Coturnix japonica: one gene and its partners. The protein of the gene in region 3 purifies or fractionates together with the protein of the main gene of each other region. This does not show direct contact. Links are inferred from orthologs where the notes say so. Each region holds a gene or a part of one and is shown on either strand. Other genes may lie near its edges.

Evidence for each region. Proteins that work in one complex are often made in the same cells at the same time.
Region 1: the proteins of CLNS1A (region 3) and WDR77 purify together in Homo sapiens (affinity purification with mass spectrometry; 6 studies listed by BioGRID and IntAct, with this or other methods). This does not show direct contact. The link is inferred for Coturnix japonica from reciprocal best matches to the Homo sapiens genes CLNS1A and WDR77.
Region 2: the proteins of CLNS1A (region 3) and GAR1 purify together in Homo sapiens (affinity purification with mass spectrometry; 3 studies listed by BioGRID and IntAct, counting the BioPlex papers as one, with this or other methods). This does not show direct contact. The link is inferred for Coturnix japonica from reciprocal best matches to the Homo sapiens genes CLNS1A and GAR1.
Region 4: the proteins of CLNS1A (region 3) and EPB41L3 purify together in Homo sapiens (affinity purification with mass spectrometry; 3 studies listed by BioGRID and IntAct, with this or other methods). This does not show direct contact. The link is inferred for Coturnix japonica from reciprocal best matches to the Homo sapiens genes CLNS1A and EPB41L3.

What each region holds. Positions count from the first base shown.
Region 1 is NC_029541.1:3,354,784-3,357,064, reverse strand, and holds the end of WDR77 (methylosome protein 50), read left to right. Parts: intron 1-178; coding exon 179-338; 3' UTR 339-1,770; downstream 1,771-2,281. UniProt on the Homo sapiens protein: Non-catalytic component of the methylosome complex, composed of PRMT5, WDR77 and CLNS1A, which modifies specific arginines to dimethylarginines in several spliceosomal Sm proteins and histones.
Region 2 is NC_029519.1:52,168,110-52,172,415, forward strand, and holds the start of GAR1 (H/ACA ribonucleoprotein complex subunit 1), read right to left. Parts: upstream 2,812-4,306; 5' UTR 2,695-2,811; intron 2,659-2,694; exon of another isoform or gene 2,458-2,658; intron 1,594-2,457; 5' UTR 1,581-1,593; coding exon 1,379-1,580; intron 1,299-1,378; coding exon 1,144-1,298; intron 328-1,143; coding exon 268-327; intron 1-267. Other genes in the region: CFI (complement factor I), read left to right, coding at 3,178-3,237. UniProt on the Homo sapiens protein: Required for ribosome biogenesis and telomere maintenance. Part of the H/ACA small nucleolar ribonucleoprotein (H/ACA snoRNP) complex, which catalyzes pseudouridylation of rRNA.
Region 3 is NC_029516.1:172,769,563-172,773,647, reverse strand, and holds the start of CLNS1A (methylosome subunit pICln), read right to left. Parts: upstream 2,815-4,085; 5' UTR 2,744-2,814; coding exon 2,625-2,743; intron 2,463-2,624; coding exon 2,326-2,462; intron 828-2,325; coding exon 720-827; intron 25-719; coding exon 1-24. UniProt on the Homo sapiens protein: Involved in both the assembly of spliceosomal snRNPs and the methylation of Sm proteins.
Region 4 is NC_029517.1:90,253,736-90,257,905, reverse strand, and holds the start of EPB41L3 (band 4.1-like protein 3), read right to left. Parts: upstream 2,812-4,170; 5' UTR 2,698-2,811; intron 1-2,697. UniProt on the Homo sapiens protein: Tumor suppressor that inhibits cell proliferation and promotes apoptosis. Modulates the activity of protein arginine N-methyltransferases, including PRMT3 and PRMT5.

The DNA.
Region 1 (2,281 bases), on a different chromosome or scaffold from region 3:
CTGGGGCTGTTTCTCTTGCTGATTTCTCACTAATTATTTATGTACCAAAGGGAAGATGAAAATACTCCTTAAACTGGGGAACGTTGTCCTAACAAACAAGTAATTAGGAAGTGTTCAAACCCATATATTCATAGCAGCATTGCTTCATTGCTTCATGGCTGATTGCTCTGTTTTCCAGGTTCAGAAGCCGTTCTCATCGAGACTTTGTCAAAGGTTTATCATGGTCTCCTTCAGACAATGCCTTGCTCACTACAATTGGATGGGATCATCAGGTTTTACATCACACTGTCCCCATACCAACTGGTGAAGCTTCCGGAATCAACTGTGTAAAAGAATAGTTTTATAAACTCATTGGTCTAAATTCCTTCCTGGCATTACTTTGGTTCTCCTGAAGTCGACGATGTTTGTGAACTGGAGTGGTTATGGATTATTGTCTGCCTTGAACCTTGTGACTAAGAAGGTTCCTGTAGTAGTTTTGAGTTAAGCATAAATTAGTTGCAAACCAGACTGTACCACCTCCTCAGGAGTTGGATTCACCTGTGAAAAGACTGCAGTTTTTTATCCTGGAAAAAGAAATAGTGGCTTCAGCCACAGAGGAGCCTTGAACAGGGAATTAGGTATAATAAAATGAAAGACTTGTTTCTTCAAACCACTCACAGAATGAATAGAAACAGATTATTTGGGGAGGTAAAAAGGAACCACCTTTACTGAGGTAGATGCAAAAGCCTCACCTGAGCAAAGTGTTCACTGTTGAAATACTTCCTTCCAATGGGGCAGGAAAACGTGTTGGAATTTTAAGGGTAGAAGAGTTTCCTTGTTGTCTGTAGTGCCACAGTCAGTGTAGGTTGGTTTTTTGCATCTTCTATTGCAAATAATCCCACTGTGAGCACTGTATGTGCACTTCTGCTCCACTGGTGGGTATCAGTACCAGTGCTTGGTGTGATACGTCACATATGCTGTATGATAAGGATCTCAGCTGCAGTCATTAAACATCTTTGTGATGGTGCATGACATGCTGAAATACCAGGACCTGTAATGCTCAGCATTGCTTGGAGCTGAGAGCAGCTCAGAGGCTTTTCTGCAGCATGCTGAAAGCTGAGAGAAGTTCACTTGACACCACATTTCAGCTTCTCTGTGCTGAATGCAACTTACAGAATAAGGTTTGTGAACAGAAGTTCGTATAAGGGGAAAAACTGGACTAAGGACTTGAGTCTTCATTTTGCTGCTCCTGTTATCAGACTGCTTAGTGATAAATAAGGCTCCTGATACACATTCAATGAGTGACTGAGAAGATCAAGCAATTTCCATAATCCCCTCAAAGACTTCACGTAATCCTTAGAGGTTGGGTTTTGTTCTTTGGGTATATTTTTTGGGGGGTAATATAACGTACAACTCAAACCAAACTGTTTCCTTTCAACATATTTAACTGACAATAAACGGCATTGCTCTGCATACATGGCTGCTGCTCCAGGTGTGGCTTTCCTAGAGACAACAGTGGGTTTTAGCGAATGAAACAGAAACTACTGTTAAAAACAAATGCTACATTGCCCTTACTGTGATAGCAATGCTACACTGTAAACATCTACAATCATTTTTCAGAGCAAAATTCCCCATCTAGAGCATTGTAATCACAAAGAACAAGTTTCCTCCATGCTGCCCCTTGGAAGAGTTCAAGGCAAAAGGTTGTGTATTACAGTGCAGCTTGTGAACAAGATGTCTTTGCAAAGGATGGAAGATGGTTTTTAAATAAATCACAGTTTTCATTTACAACTGGCTCTTCAGTTTCACCTGGCTTCCTGTGCAACGCCAAGAGCCAGCTGAGGTCACGGCCCTGGAGTTACAACTGTGCTTAAATAAACTCACCGCATGCAATGCAAGCAGGGACAAGTTTCAAATAGGAAGTTTTAAACCACCTAAGTTCCTCAGCTAACCGTGCTGCAGAGCTCTGCAATCCATGGCAAAAAGTGATATAGTGGTGGAAGATGAGGATCATGTGGAGAAAAGGTCACTTGGTATTTCATTCCTGTTCTTGTACAGCTGATTAAAGACTTGGCATAGTAGCACATACTGGGCTTCAGCATCCTGCAAGCCTTTGGGTAAAGCTCTGTGTTCCACCGCAGGAGGGCAGCAGCATGACAGCAGAGGTTTGCATGCATTAAAGACCATCTACCCTTTTTACTGCTTGTTTTTTTTTCCCCCTACCATCATAAATAAGCACAGAAGTGCATCACTTTATTTAGTAGCTGCTACTGTGTTAGCTTACCAAGGCTATAAGCACTGG
Region 2 (4,306 bases), on a different chromosome or scaffold from region 3:
CAAAACAAATCAGTGTTATAAAGTTATTAAATTACAGATGATATGCGGATTTATTAAGTTTTATTCATTACACCCGACTTCCTTTTTTTGTTCTTTAGGGGAGGGAAGAGCATGGCAGATGTAAAAGCAAAAAGGATGAGTAAGCAAACACATTTTCAAAGGACAGCTACCTTTTAAAGTCAATAAAATCTCTTACTAAAGCTTTTAGCTATTTGATGACGTATCTACCTGACATACAGCAGAATTCTGTTACTGAGATCAGTTTACCTTTTGCATTTTTTTGAATGAAGAGGCTCTCATGTTCTCAGACAGCTTCACTGAAAAATACTGTTGGCTTCTTTAAGGAACGCACCACGAATAAAAGGTTAGAAGTAGCACTTTTGATTATTGCATAGCAGAACTTAGATGCTTCAGACATTTTCTAAATTCAGGTTATTAATGAAGCTAAACATCATCGCTTCAACAAAATTACAACTTAATGATCAGGAATAACTGTTTCTAATCTTCCTCACAGTTACAAAGACAGCCTTTTGTAGAAGCATTACTTTCTCCTTCCCATGGATTAAGGCATGAGGAACATACCAGCAGAAAATACATAAAATATAAACATAAAGAAACAAACTTGTTTGACAAGTGACCGTCTCTCAGATTTATCCAGAACAATACGGATGCTGCAGTGACTTTGCTATGACTGTCCTGGCTTGTACAGCTGCCTGGATGAAGAAAGAGATGAGCCAGCAAGGGCTGCTCAGCCCAACCACATCATTTGTTTCATCCTACAGTGATATGGTGGATGTTCTCTGTAACTCCAAAGACAAACTACTATGGATCCCGTGGTTCTCAAGTGTGCAAGAATGGTTGTTTGTGAGCTGCTGGCTGACTTTTCAATAGCACTCAAGATTAAACGGGGAGCTAAGGAACAGCAAAGTACAGCTGAGCTCCCTTTACATTTCTTGGTATGTTATTATAAGAAAAAAAGTTTCTGAACTTCAAGTAATTCTGGTACAAAAAGTAAATCTACAAATTAATACATTCAGAGCAGAAGGATGTTCTGAACCTGTCCTAAGCAAATAAAGTAGGACAAAGAAATTGTTTTCTAATTTTGGAGCAAACCGACTAAAGAAACCAATTTGTGAAGGATACAAAGTCTCGTAGCTGCCCAAAAATTTCATCCACTTTGCCGATCTGTTCTTTATTATCCAAGTACACCGGTGCATTGAAATAAGGCACTTTGTTTTCTTCTGTTTTACATTTACAAACAAGATCATCTTCACAGGGATGCATGAACTCTCCCAGTACTGAAATAAAGAACAAACAAGCTGAAGATCTTCAACACTCACTGCAAGTTAAATAAAAGCAGCCTCCACATGTAACTTACAAACTACCCTCTCCGGAGGGCCCTGGTCATATCCGCCTCTGTTGAAGCCTCCCCGTCCACCTCCCCGTCCAAAGCCACCTCGTCCACCACGATTAAAGCCGCCTCTGTCACCGCCGCTTCCTCCACGATTAAAGCCGCCTCCACCTCTTCCGCCACCTCCTCGTCCTCCACCACCTCCTCCTCCTCTTCCACGGAAGGACATTCTCTACTGCCTCCTACAGCATAGACAAAAATAGGTTGTTTAATAAGTACATATTTGTTGTCTACCACGCTGTCCGAATCAACGTCTCCTGATGGTCCTGTTTAATCACAGAATCACAGAATTGTAAGGGTTGGAAGGGACCTCTAGAGATCATCGAGTCCAACCCCCCTGCCAAAGCAGGCTCCCTACACCACATCACACAGGTAGGCGTCCAGGCGGGTCTTGAATGTCTCCAGAGAAGGAGACTCCACCACCTCCCTGGGCAGCCTGTTCCAGTGCTCCGTCACCCTCACTGTAAAGAAGTTCTTCCATACATTCATGTGGAACTTCCTATGCTGTACTTTCATCCCATTACCCCTAGTCCTGTCCCCACACACTACTGAAAAGAGACGAGACTCACCACTATGGCCCCCACACCTCAGGTATTTATAAACCTGGATCAAGTCCTCTCTCAGCCTTCTTTTCTCAAGGGTCAACAGACCCAGTTCCCTAAGTCTCTCCTCATGGGGGAGATGCTCCAGGCCCTTCACCATCTTTGTGGCCCTCTGCTGGACTCTTTCCAAGAGATCCCTGTCTTTTTTGTACTGGGGAGCCCAGAACTGGACACAATATTCTAGATGAGGCCTCACCAGGGAAAGTAGAGGGAGAGGATCACCTCCTTCGACCTGCTGGACACGCTCTTTTTAACACACCCCAGTATGCCATTGGCTTTTTTGGCTACAAGGGCACACTGCTGGCTCATGGCCAACCTGTCGTCCACCAGGACGCCCAGGTCCCGGGTTAGTGGTTACGCACCTCGGCTGGGACCGAAAATGTGCAGGCGAGCCAGAATCAAGTTTCCCCATTAAACTAAATGACCTCAAAACGCTTTTCCAACCTTAGCGATTCTGCGGTAATGCCCATCCATCAAGAGGGACCGGCCATATCGGGGTTGAGCATCACGCTGCACAGTCCCAGCCCCACGGAGTGGCTCCGGGCGGCCAGCTTCCCACGGGGCGGCCTCCCTGGACGCGGCACCGAGCCCTGAAGGAGACCACCAGCTCTAATGGCCCTAACGACAGCTCACACACACCCCAACCCGCACCACGAGCCCCAACCCCTCACACGTGCATACCCAGCTTCCATGCGAGTGCTGTCGCCGCCTGATTATGTCATCATTACACGCCGGAAAGACGCCGGCATGCCGTAAAGGAGAAACGGGCTCGGCGGCACTGTCGCACCCTTAAGTCTGCCTGCCTGCACGGACACATATCGCACCTAAGAAAGCACCTCCCCTGACAGCACCCTGACAGCAGAGCTGGTTAATGGCTCCGCCACTCGGTCGGTCTGCTTTGGCAGCGGGCGGGGAGCGAGAGACCCCGCCGAGCACTCCCTTGTAATCGCTGACTTCAATGGCTTTCCTTTGGTTCTCTGTTTACAGTCAAACAGCTGAAATGGGGTGGGATCCGACTCATCCCTTAACATCTAAGGCTCCCGTAGTGGTTTCTGAGGCCAAACTGTTTTACCAATGGTTAAAAATTAAACACAAACCTAACAACTGGAGATTGGGACAAATCCCGGCCAGGGGGATTTCTCTACAAAGAGATAAAACTTCATCATGAGGGTGGTTGCGGTTTTCTTGGTTTCCTTCTCTCTCTTTTCTTTCTGTCGAGCACAGGTAAGAACTTCTTTTATTGTGGAACCCCCCTATTTTAAAAATAAACCAACAGAAAAACAGCAAACAGTTGATTATTATAAAAAGATATATCTATATTTCTATACATATATATCTATAATTTCCTGTTGTAGTATTTGCATTTCATCCATTTGTTTTAGTCCAGTTTGAAAATGTGAATCTCTTCCGTGTATTGGTTCTGTATGAGGTTTACATGAACAGGCTTCTGGAAGATCTTTTAATCAGGATCCTATGCTAAACCTGACTTGCAAGTGTGGCTCAGCTCAGAAAGCTTCTGTTGTGAACTCTCTTCTGGCAAAAGCCTCTCAGGATATCCTGATGGGCTCCATGTTCAGCATACCCTGAACCTTCCAGAAAAGCCCATAGACAAAGATCAGCACCTTCTGTTGCTATTCAGGCAGAACTAAGGAGAAGCATCTAGTGCTATACGGGAGTTATGCCAAGCCGGGCCTGGCTCAGAGTTTGGTATGTAAATTTAAAGATAATGCATAGGATTCTAGTGACCTGAGAAGAACAGGAAGAATTTATTAAGATTATACAGCCCTTAAAAGGGTGGGAGGGGCTCGGATTAAATTCTGCCTCGGCAACATTCCCACTGCCTTTACTTAGGCCAGGATTTCTTCATGAGAACTTTAAACTTTGGCTCTGTTGATTCAGTGGATGCACTCAAAGCCAATAAATCCCATCTGACAACTGACATTTCTTATTCATCTCTATGCAAAGTCTAGTTACATATTTTTCACATTTCAACATTCCCCCTACCCAGAGCTCTTAGTAAGCAAAAGGACTCGGCCAGTAGTGGCATAACCAGTGAGCTGCAGGGATAGTTGTTATTACTCATCTAGAGACAGATGCTCAGATGGAGAGATCAGGAACACTCCTTGCAGCCCATAACAACCAGAAACCACACTGCAAACCCACTGCCATTCAAGATATGAGAACAAAATGGACTGGGAGGGGCATTTAGTTTTCACATTTGTTGAAGATACTTGTTACTTGCAATTAAACAAATCGTTAATTTTAGATTTGTTCCTATGTAGTTACTGGCTAT
Region 3 (4,085 bases):
ACATTGCTGAAAACATGGCTTCCACTGTACGAACAAAACAGAATCATCTCAGCAAGCAGCCCAAAGGAAAGACACCAGGAGTTATCTTTCAGTTGGCAGCTGTGAAGTGCAAGTGCTCAGTAGGGCTGGCGCCTCTCAGCTGGCGAGCAGGGAACCTGCAGTTCCACCCAGCAGCTGGAAGCACAGCTGGACTTCCAGGAACCACACCTGCAAAATCAGGCTCCCTCCTCAGCTAGGAAGTGGCAACTTCAGCTAAGATGCTGTTAGAAGCAGCTTTTGCACTGTATTTTAATAGTTGCTCTACTTGCAAGGGTTGAAAATCAGAAGTCTGATCTGACATTAGGGCTTGGCACACTTCAAGGTTAGGAAGTCACAACAGGTGGCAACCAGATGTGGCATGACCAGACTCTCCAGATTAACATCAGATTTAATCCAACCTAGTTCTCCACGCATGCTTCCATCATGTCACTGATGACAAAGGTTCAACAGAGGCAACAGCAGCAACTCAGTCAGTGGTTACCCACCTCAGGAGTCCTTGCAGTATCTAATGTGTCAGATGCTTAGAAATTGGATCCAACTGGAAGCTCCCCACAAGACAGGGTATGATTGTTTTCCAGTGGTAGCATCTGAACATTAGCATGTTCCTAATTAAATGCTAAGAAGACACTGAAGGCCTGTGCCATTCACATCAGGTACAGCACCCCTTCCCCATCACTTACAGGCTGATTTGTCGCTAGGCACAAATCTGAACTCTGCAATTGGTTCGATGTCATCATCGCTGTCTTCCTCCTCCCCTTCAGCCATGGGGGCCTCCTTTGTCTCCTCCTCTTCAGGAAATTCAGATTAAAAGAGAAAAATGATTATTTTATCCAAAAAAAGAGACAGCTTTAGCACCTTTAGAACCATAAGCAAATCAGAAACCCGGACAGAGCCTGCAACAAACAAACCTGCTCCCATCCATCTGCAGACACACAGGGTCCTCTCACAGCACCCTGGAGAAGCTTGCAATGCACACAAGAACTCTGCTTTCAATTTGAGGAGCCAAGTTTTCTATAGCATTCATGTAATCCACAATCCTTACTGCTTAACCGCAGAGCGGTTGAGCTACGTATACAATCGTTAACTTAAGAATCTTAGGTATTAGGGATCCCTTGCACTGCTGCCCTGAGATCAGCCAGTTTCCAGTCTGGCCTCCCACATAGGACTGACGTTGACAGGAGGCCATACTCAATTTCTTGTGTTCTTAGCAAACCACTAAAGCAATGAAGCAAAAAGTCTCCCCACAGCCCATGTCAGCTGCGGGTAAAACTTTGCTTCCTGACTACTGTGTACCACATAATTGAATAAGTGAGCAAGAACACGATGTTCTACTTCCGTAAAAACAAAATCCACGCAGGATACAGCTTACAGCTCATCCCTTTGTGGCTGGGGAGGTTGAACTGACAGCTTCAAAACTGCATGGTTACTTTCTACAGCAAAAGAGGACTAGAGTAAAGCTGTATTCACAAAGAGTGGCTTTTATTATGAACAGAACTGGCAACGAGAAGAACACGAAGATGCCAAGAAGCTGCCAGCCAAACAATGATACATCCAAGGAATTCACCCAGTCCCTTTGGAATTGACCTCCCCATGCTCAGTTTGCTGCTGCTGCTACATCCAGCTCTTTGTTTTCAACCAAGTCAACCCCTGCCTGCCTTCCTCTAAAGAAGGCTGAAAATGAGGCAAATATACACACAGAGCACTACTAAAACATCCAAAGAAGAACAAGATGTACTGTGCCCAACTGAAAATCAAGACTCCTGCAGCCAGCAAAGCAGTGATGTTTCCATATAACACTGTTTTAAACAGTTAAAACCATGGGTCGGTCAGGGACAGACATGAGAGCTGAACACTCAGACTCACCCTTAGCTGGGCACCTACTGTGGCCAGAATTCTTTTATGTCGATCTATCGAGGTTTTGAATTCTTTTATGTCAACTCATTGAGGTTTTATTGACTGGAATTATCACAGGAAAGATTTTCAAGTATCACTGTAACAATTAGAAGCTGGAAATAACATCTTTCTTCAAGGCTTAGCACTCACTGCTCTTCAAATGATACAATACAGCAGAGTTGATGAGACTTAAAAGCATTAAAGGGTCTGGCAGGAGTGGGAATGCTATGAATATCTATTAAGCTCAATAACACGAATCACTGTCTTTTAATGAAACTTCAGCCCTACTGTAATTATCCTTCACGGAGATGAAAAGATACTGCTTGAATTAAGGGTTTAGGCTTTAAAAAGCAAAACTAATTCCCTTTTTGAGGGAGGGATGGTGGGCCTTACCTTCAAACCTGGCGTTCACCATGACATACAGGTGCTCCCAGGGGTACGCGTTCAGGTCCCTGGAGACAGCATGTAAACTTATGGTGGGATAATCCAAGGAGAAGCCAACTCCTGAGTTTTCCAGCCATGACAGGCGGCTAAAAAGGGGGTTAAAGAGAAACACACGTAAGAGAGAAGTTAGAAATTAGTACCTGAACCTGGAGAGAAGCAAATCAAATCCAATCGTTCCCCTCAGCGCACCCCCCGCGGCCTACAGCGCACCCACAGCCCTCATAACCGCCCCCATAGACCCCGCTCACCTCTCTGCTATGTAGAGCGTCCCGGCACCCAGACTGCGGCCCGACAGCACCGCCTCCGTGTCGGGCTGCCGGTGCCGGACACCATCGGCCGGCGGCGGGAACCGCTTCAGGAAACTCATGGCGCAGCCAACACCGCCTCCCCCTCCTCCTCCTCCTCTTCCTCCCTCCCACCGCCGCCGGAAAAGGAAATGGCGGCGTTGTCGGGCCGCTCTGGATCCGACTCTATGGTGCGAAACGACCGTGCATCAGCGCTGCCATCTTGTGGCGGGTAGGGTAGGGTGGGGTAGGGTAGGGTAGAAGGTGTTAATTGGTAGGGTAGGGTGGGGTAGGGTAGGGTAGGGTAGGAGGTGTTAGGGTAGGGTAGGGTTAGGGTGGGGTAGAGTAGGGTAGGTTGTAGGGTAGGGTAGGTTGTAGGGTAGGGTAGAAGGTGTTAATTGGTAGGGTAGGGTAGGTTGTAGGTAGGGTAGAGTTGGGTAGGGTGGGGTGGGATAGGGTAGGTTGTAGGTAGGGTAGAGTTGGGTAGGGTGGGGTGGGGTAGGGTAGGTATTGGTGTTGACGCGGTGAGTTCTGGGTAGGGTGGGGAGGAATAAATTGTTAGTGTTAGATAGGCTAGGCGGGTTTAGCGTCTGAGTAGAGGGTGGGGTGTGTGGTAAAGAGGGTTAGGGGTAGAAGAGGTGTTAAATTTGGTCTTAGTAGGGTAGGCCAGATGGGGCTCAGCGGTACGGCAGGGGGTATGGCGTTTAGGGTCTGGGGAAAGATTAGCGGTAGGGGCTTAGGCATAGGGTACTTAGGGAGTAGGTGACCCAGCGGGTGGGAGTCTGCTCGGTACGGCCTAACGTTGCACGTAGGTCATTTAGTAGGGTAGGAGGGTGGCGTAGGGCTCAGAGGTGGGGGTAGGGTACAGGGTAGAATTTGTGTTCATATTGGCGTAGGGGCTCGGCGTAGGTCTTTTTTGTCTTTGGCCTCTAGGTCTGGGCGTGGTTGCAGGTGGCTGGAGGTGCCCCTAGGGCAGGGCTGTGGCCGGCCATCCCTTGTCCGCTTTCTAGCGCCCGGGAGCTGAGTCGCTCAGGAGGTGACGAGAAGTTAACGGAGTGGGGAAGATAAGGGTAATGGGGAGTAAGAAGGTGTGTAATTGGTGGGGTGCTCACGTGGTGGAGAGAGTAAGAGGAAGGGAAGGGAAGGGAAGGGAAGGGAAGGGAAGGGAAGGGAAGGGAAAGGTGTTAATTGGAAGGGACCTTCAGGTAGGGAAGGGAAGGCAAGGCAAGGTGTTAATTTGGAAGGGACCTTCAAAGATCAGGGTATGGTAGGGAAGGGAAAGGAAGGGAGGGAAGGGAAAGGTGTTAATTGGAAGGGACCTTCAGGAAGGAAAGGGAAGGCAAGGCAAGGTGTTAATTTGGAAGGAACCTTCAGGTAGAGAAGGGAAGGCAAGGCAAGGTGTTAATTTGGAAGGGACCTTCAAAG
Region 4 (4,170 bases), on a different chromosome or scaffold from region 3:
CTGATTCATCAGAAGGAGCCAACTGCTTCATGCAATTAAAAACTGAGAGCAACGAACCACTCAAAGGATGCTCAAGCCAGGGATATTCCAGAAGGAACCTGGCTAGATGCTGCCTTCCTCTGCACATTACATCCTCCCACAGAAGTTATGACCAGCCTTGCTGCCGTTCCTCTCCATGACCTTGTTACTTGACTTGTCTTCCAAGCATAAAGACCATGCTAAATTCAGATGCTTTTTAATGGATCACAGGATAATTCAGGCCAGGAGGGACCTCAGGAAGTCTCCAGTCCACCCTCTGGCTCCAAGCTGGATCATCTGAGATCAGATTGGGTTGCTCAGGGATTTGTCTAGCTGGACCATAAAAATCTCCAATAATGGAAACTGCACAGCCACCCTGGGCAGCCTGTGCTGCTGCCTGGCTGTTCTCATGTTGAAAACGTATCTCCTTTCAACCTTTTTGAACTTCTCTCATTTCCACTTTTGCCCTCTGTCTCTTATCCTTCTACTACAAACACTTAGGAGGAGGCAGGATTGCATCATAGAATCATAAAGGTTGGAAAAGACCACTAAGATCATCAAGTCTGATCACCAACCCATTACCATCACTCCCAGTCAGTTCTACTCTTTCAGCCCTTGTAGCTTTGATATTTACCTGCTTATGCAAGCTATACTTTTGTCTTTGATTTAGATTAACAGACTTCAACTTTGCCAAAAATCTAAATACGACATAGAACTAGAGTGAAAAATTAAACTAAGCACAGAATCTGTGGTGGAAATGCTCATCCATGTAATCACACCAGTCTTCCTCTGATATGCACTGGTAATGGCAACGTTCAATTACAGCCCTTCCAAACACCAAAACAGCATCTCTTCACATGGGTGCAGCACAAGAGTCAGGTGTACACATACACTACAAAACAGCTTGAAAGGCAAGCGAGATGCACACTGAAGCAAAACTACAAGGAATGCACTCCAGTAGTTTTCAGACTTAAAGAGCTTTCTGTAGTACATACAGTCAAGATAAATATGCATTATTTACATTCCTGTGTACAAGAGCTATTACTGTCTCAGGCTGATCAAGGCTTCTTAGCACATCAAAGAGTGGCAATCTGAAGCAGCATGCTCACAGATCTCACTGCTGCAGCCACAGAATTACCTTGTACCAGTTAAGCAGAAGGCTTCCTAACCGCACTCCTAGCTACACTGCTGAGGAGTCAAAGATGCCTAAAAGCAACCAAGGAACGAGAGAATTGCAGCAGTGCAACATATGTTCATCCTGTCTGAAAGGTCACACAAAACATGATTAGCGCCATTATCCTCCGGGACTCTGAATATGAATATTGCCTTGAGACCAGGGCTTTCCAGCATGAGCTACAGATCAATAAGAAGGATTATACAGCAATACTCTGGAAATGCTCACAAGTAGAATATCAGTTTTTATCTCAGATTTCTCCAAAGCTGTACCTGAGAAGACAGTCTTATGCTCTAGTTCCATCTTCCAATCTCAGGCTCTTTGCACCCGTACAACACACTGGTGTGGCAGAGCACATACACTCAGAGGACTCAAAAAGAAAACCAAGAGCGTGCAGAAGCTCAACTCAGCTGCAACCTGATGGCGAGCAGCCCACACCCTGCCCCATGCTCACTCCCGCACCTCACTCAGAACAGGGCCACCACAATACAAGACCATACACGGCTTCTCAGCTTCCTCACTCAGACTTAAGCCTGTGTTTAAATAAAGCCATCCCCACACAGGTGAAAGGTGAGGCAAGTTGTTTTCCTTGATTGAATCCTTTAGTAGTAACAAGTCACTCCTACAACCTGTAAGTAGCTCAGAGATAAACCCCAAGGCTTCTAAGCTGCCAACCACCCCCAGCCAGCTCTCGAAGGCAGCTTTCCTCTCATGGACAGTGCTGGCTGAACTCAGACATTTCCAGCTGCCTTTCTGGTGGAGATCTTAGAGCTGATGCATTTGCAGCAAATGTTTTCCCTGCAGCTGCCTAGTCATCTTCAACTGAAAGACCCAAACACCAGAATCTCATCCTCAGGGAGCAACAGTGGTTCCCCACATGATCTGCATTCAAGTAAAGAACGTGATCCTGACAGAGCTCTTTTTCACATATCTGAGTGGAGACTACTTGGGATGGAAATCTTATTCCATAGGAAATTCTGATCCAATATTTAATGCAGATGAATCCTCAGCACACCACCTATAAAAGTTTACACTGCAGGCAACACCAGAGTAAGGACAGTACAATGGACTGCACAGTATTTTTCTGAAAAGCCAGCCAATGAATTCATACTTTTCTATCTGAATTATTTACAGAAACAATTGAATAAGCCAGGAAAGAAGAATTAAAATGTTCTAAGCCACTGCTTCACAAAGTCATTTTATGGTTATCATATGAAGTGACACTATTTCAAATTAATTTGCTGCACGTTAATTCCTTCACCTTTGCCAACAATAAAACAAAATTAGAAATATATATATATATATATATATATATAAATCCACCAAAGAACATGTTGCAATTCAGTAAGCTTTGCCTGTTGCTTCCACACAACCAACATCCCCAAAACAGATCAAGCTTTCATCAAGCCTAGCTGGCAATAAATAGCATTGTTCTTCCTTCCCTCAAGCAAACACTCTTTTTTTCTCTCCAGAAAATTCAAGTTAAACTTATTTTGCAGACTCACCAAAGTTGTCCACATCCCAGGAGGCAGTACCGTGTCAGTCATCGAGTCCATGGTTGTCGCATGGCCGTAGCAATCAGCAGGAAAATGAAAGGGAAAAAGAAGAAAAAAGAGAACACTTGGGATTAAATGAAAAACACTACACTACAGCTTTATGTAAAGGTTGCATGGGATTAAATGGACTGAACACCCCCCAGATTGCAATATATTCTAAGAAGGAAGAAAACAGGCACCGTAGAAATAGCGCAATGATAAAACAACAATTACAGTTTATCAATTATCTCTCAAGGCTGGCATCACTTTGAGATTAAAACAACTCTTCTACTGCACATTTTTTCTCCCTCATCAGACAGCAATAAGCAGACAACATCAGATATGAGATAAGGTATGCTATAATCTGATGCTGCAGATAATTTTAAATCCTTGACAATTAGATGTAAGATTTATTGGCAGGAAGAACAGTCAGAAGTGACCCACACCACAGTGACTGACAATATCCTCAGGGAAGAGGGGACTGATAATTTATTCCCTACAATTAAGTGACTTGAAACCTATTCTACAGCTGTGTATCTTTGCTCAGCTATATATCTGTAAACCATCAAGAACACCCAAGCTGAAATGACCACAATCAGCATCAGCTCTTTCCTACTAACAAAAATCCAAAGAACAAATGTTACAGTTTTCCCAGGCTCAGAATTGATTTCCTTTGGTAACAGCTCCAAAACATTCAACCAGGTTAGTTTACTGTTATTATTACTACTGCTATTATCTCAGAGAGGGACTGCTTTGAAGACAACTTTATAAAATCCCTACTGCTGTAGGTTTACCTAAGCGAATTGCCCATACATGTGTAAGAGAACCAAAATGTGTGTTCTTCTTTGGAATGGAGAAATTGATTGCGTCTGCAAGTTCAGGAGGAGCAAAAGGTCCCAGGGCAGTTGATAGCGAAGGCACTGAAGCCTGCAGCACAGAGGAGGACACTGGGAAGAAAATCCCTGCAACTTTATCAGCATCAGGTTTTGGCTGTCATGCAGATAGTACCAAGGCTGACAAAATGCCAAGGAATGCAACAGTCTTCACAAATCTCTCACAACAGATTGGGAAATCTTCCCATCTGAAAGGCTTGGGCCATCCACACTCTTCAAGCAATCCATCCTCAGGAATACATGTACATACACAACTCGAAGGTTTTCTGAAGTGGTCACGGCAACATTTTGACCTCCTGAAGCCCCAGGCAGGCTATGAAGGCAGTGAGCCTCTTGTACTGATCCTAAGATGGTTTCTTTTTTATCACTGCAGAAATCATGTTATATGAAGGAAAAAATCTCAGTTAGTATCAAAAAGGGAAATACAATTGGCACAGACAACTCATTTGCAGCCTCCTACTGATAATGGTTGATGAGCTACCTCCTCCTCTGCTTCCACAGCCCATTAGTAAGACAGCAAGGAAGACTGCAGAAGGATGCTGACTGCTCA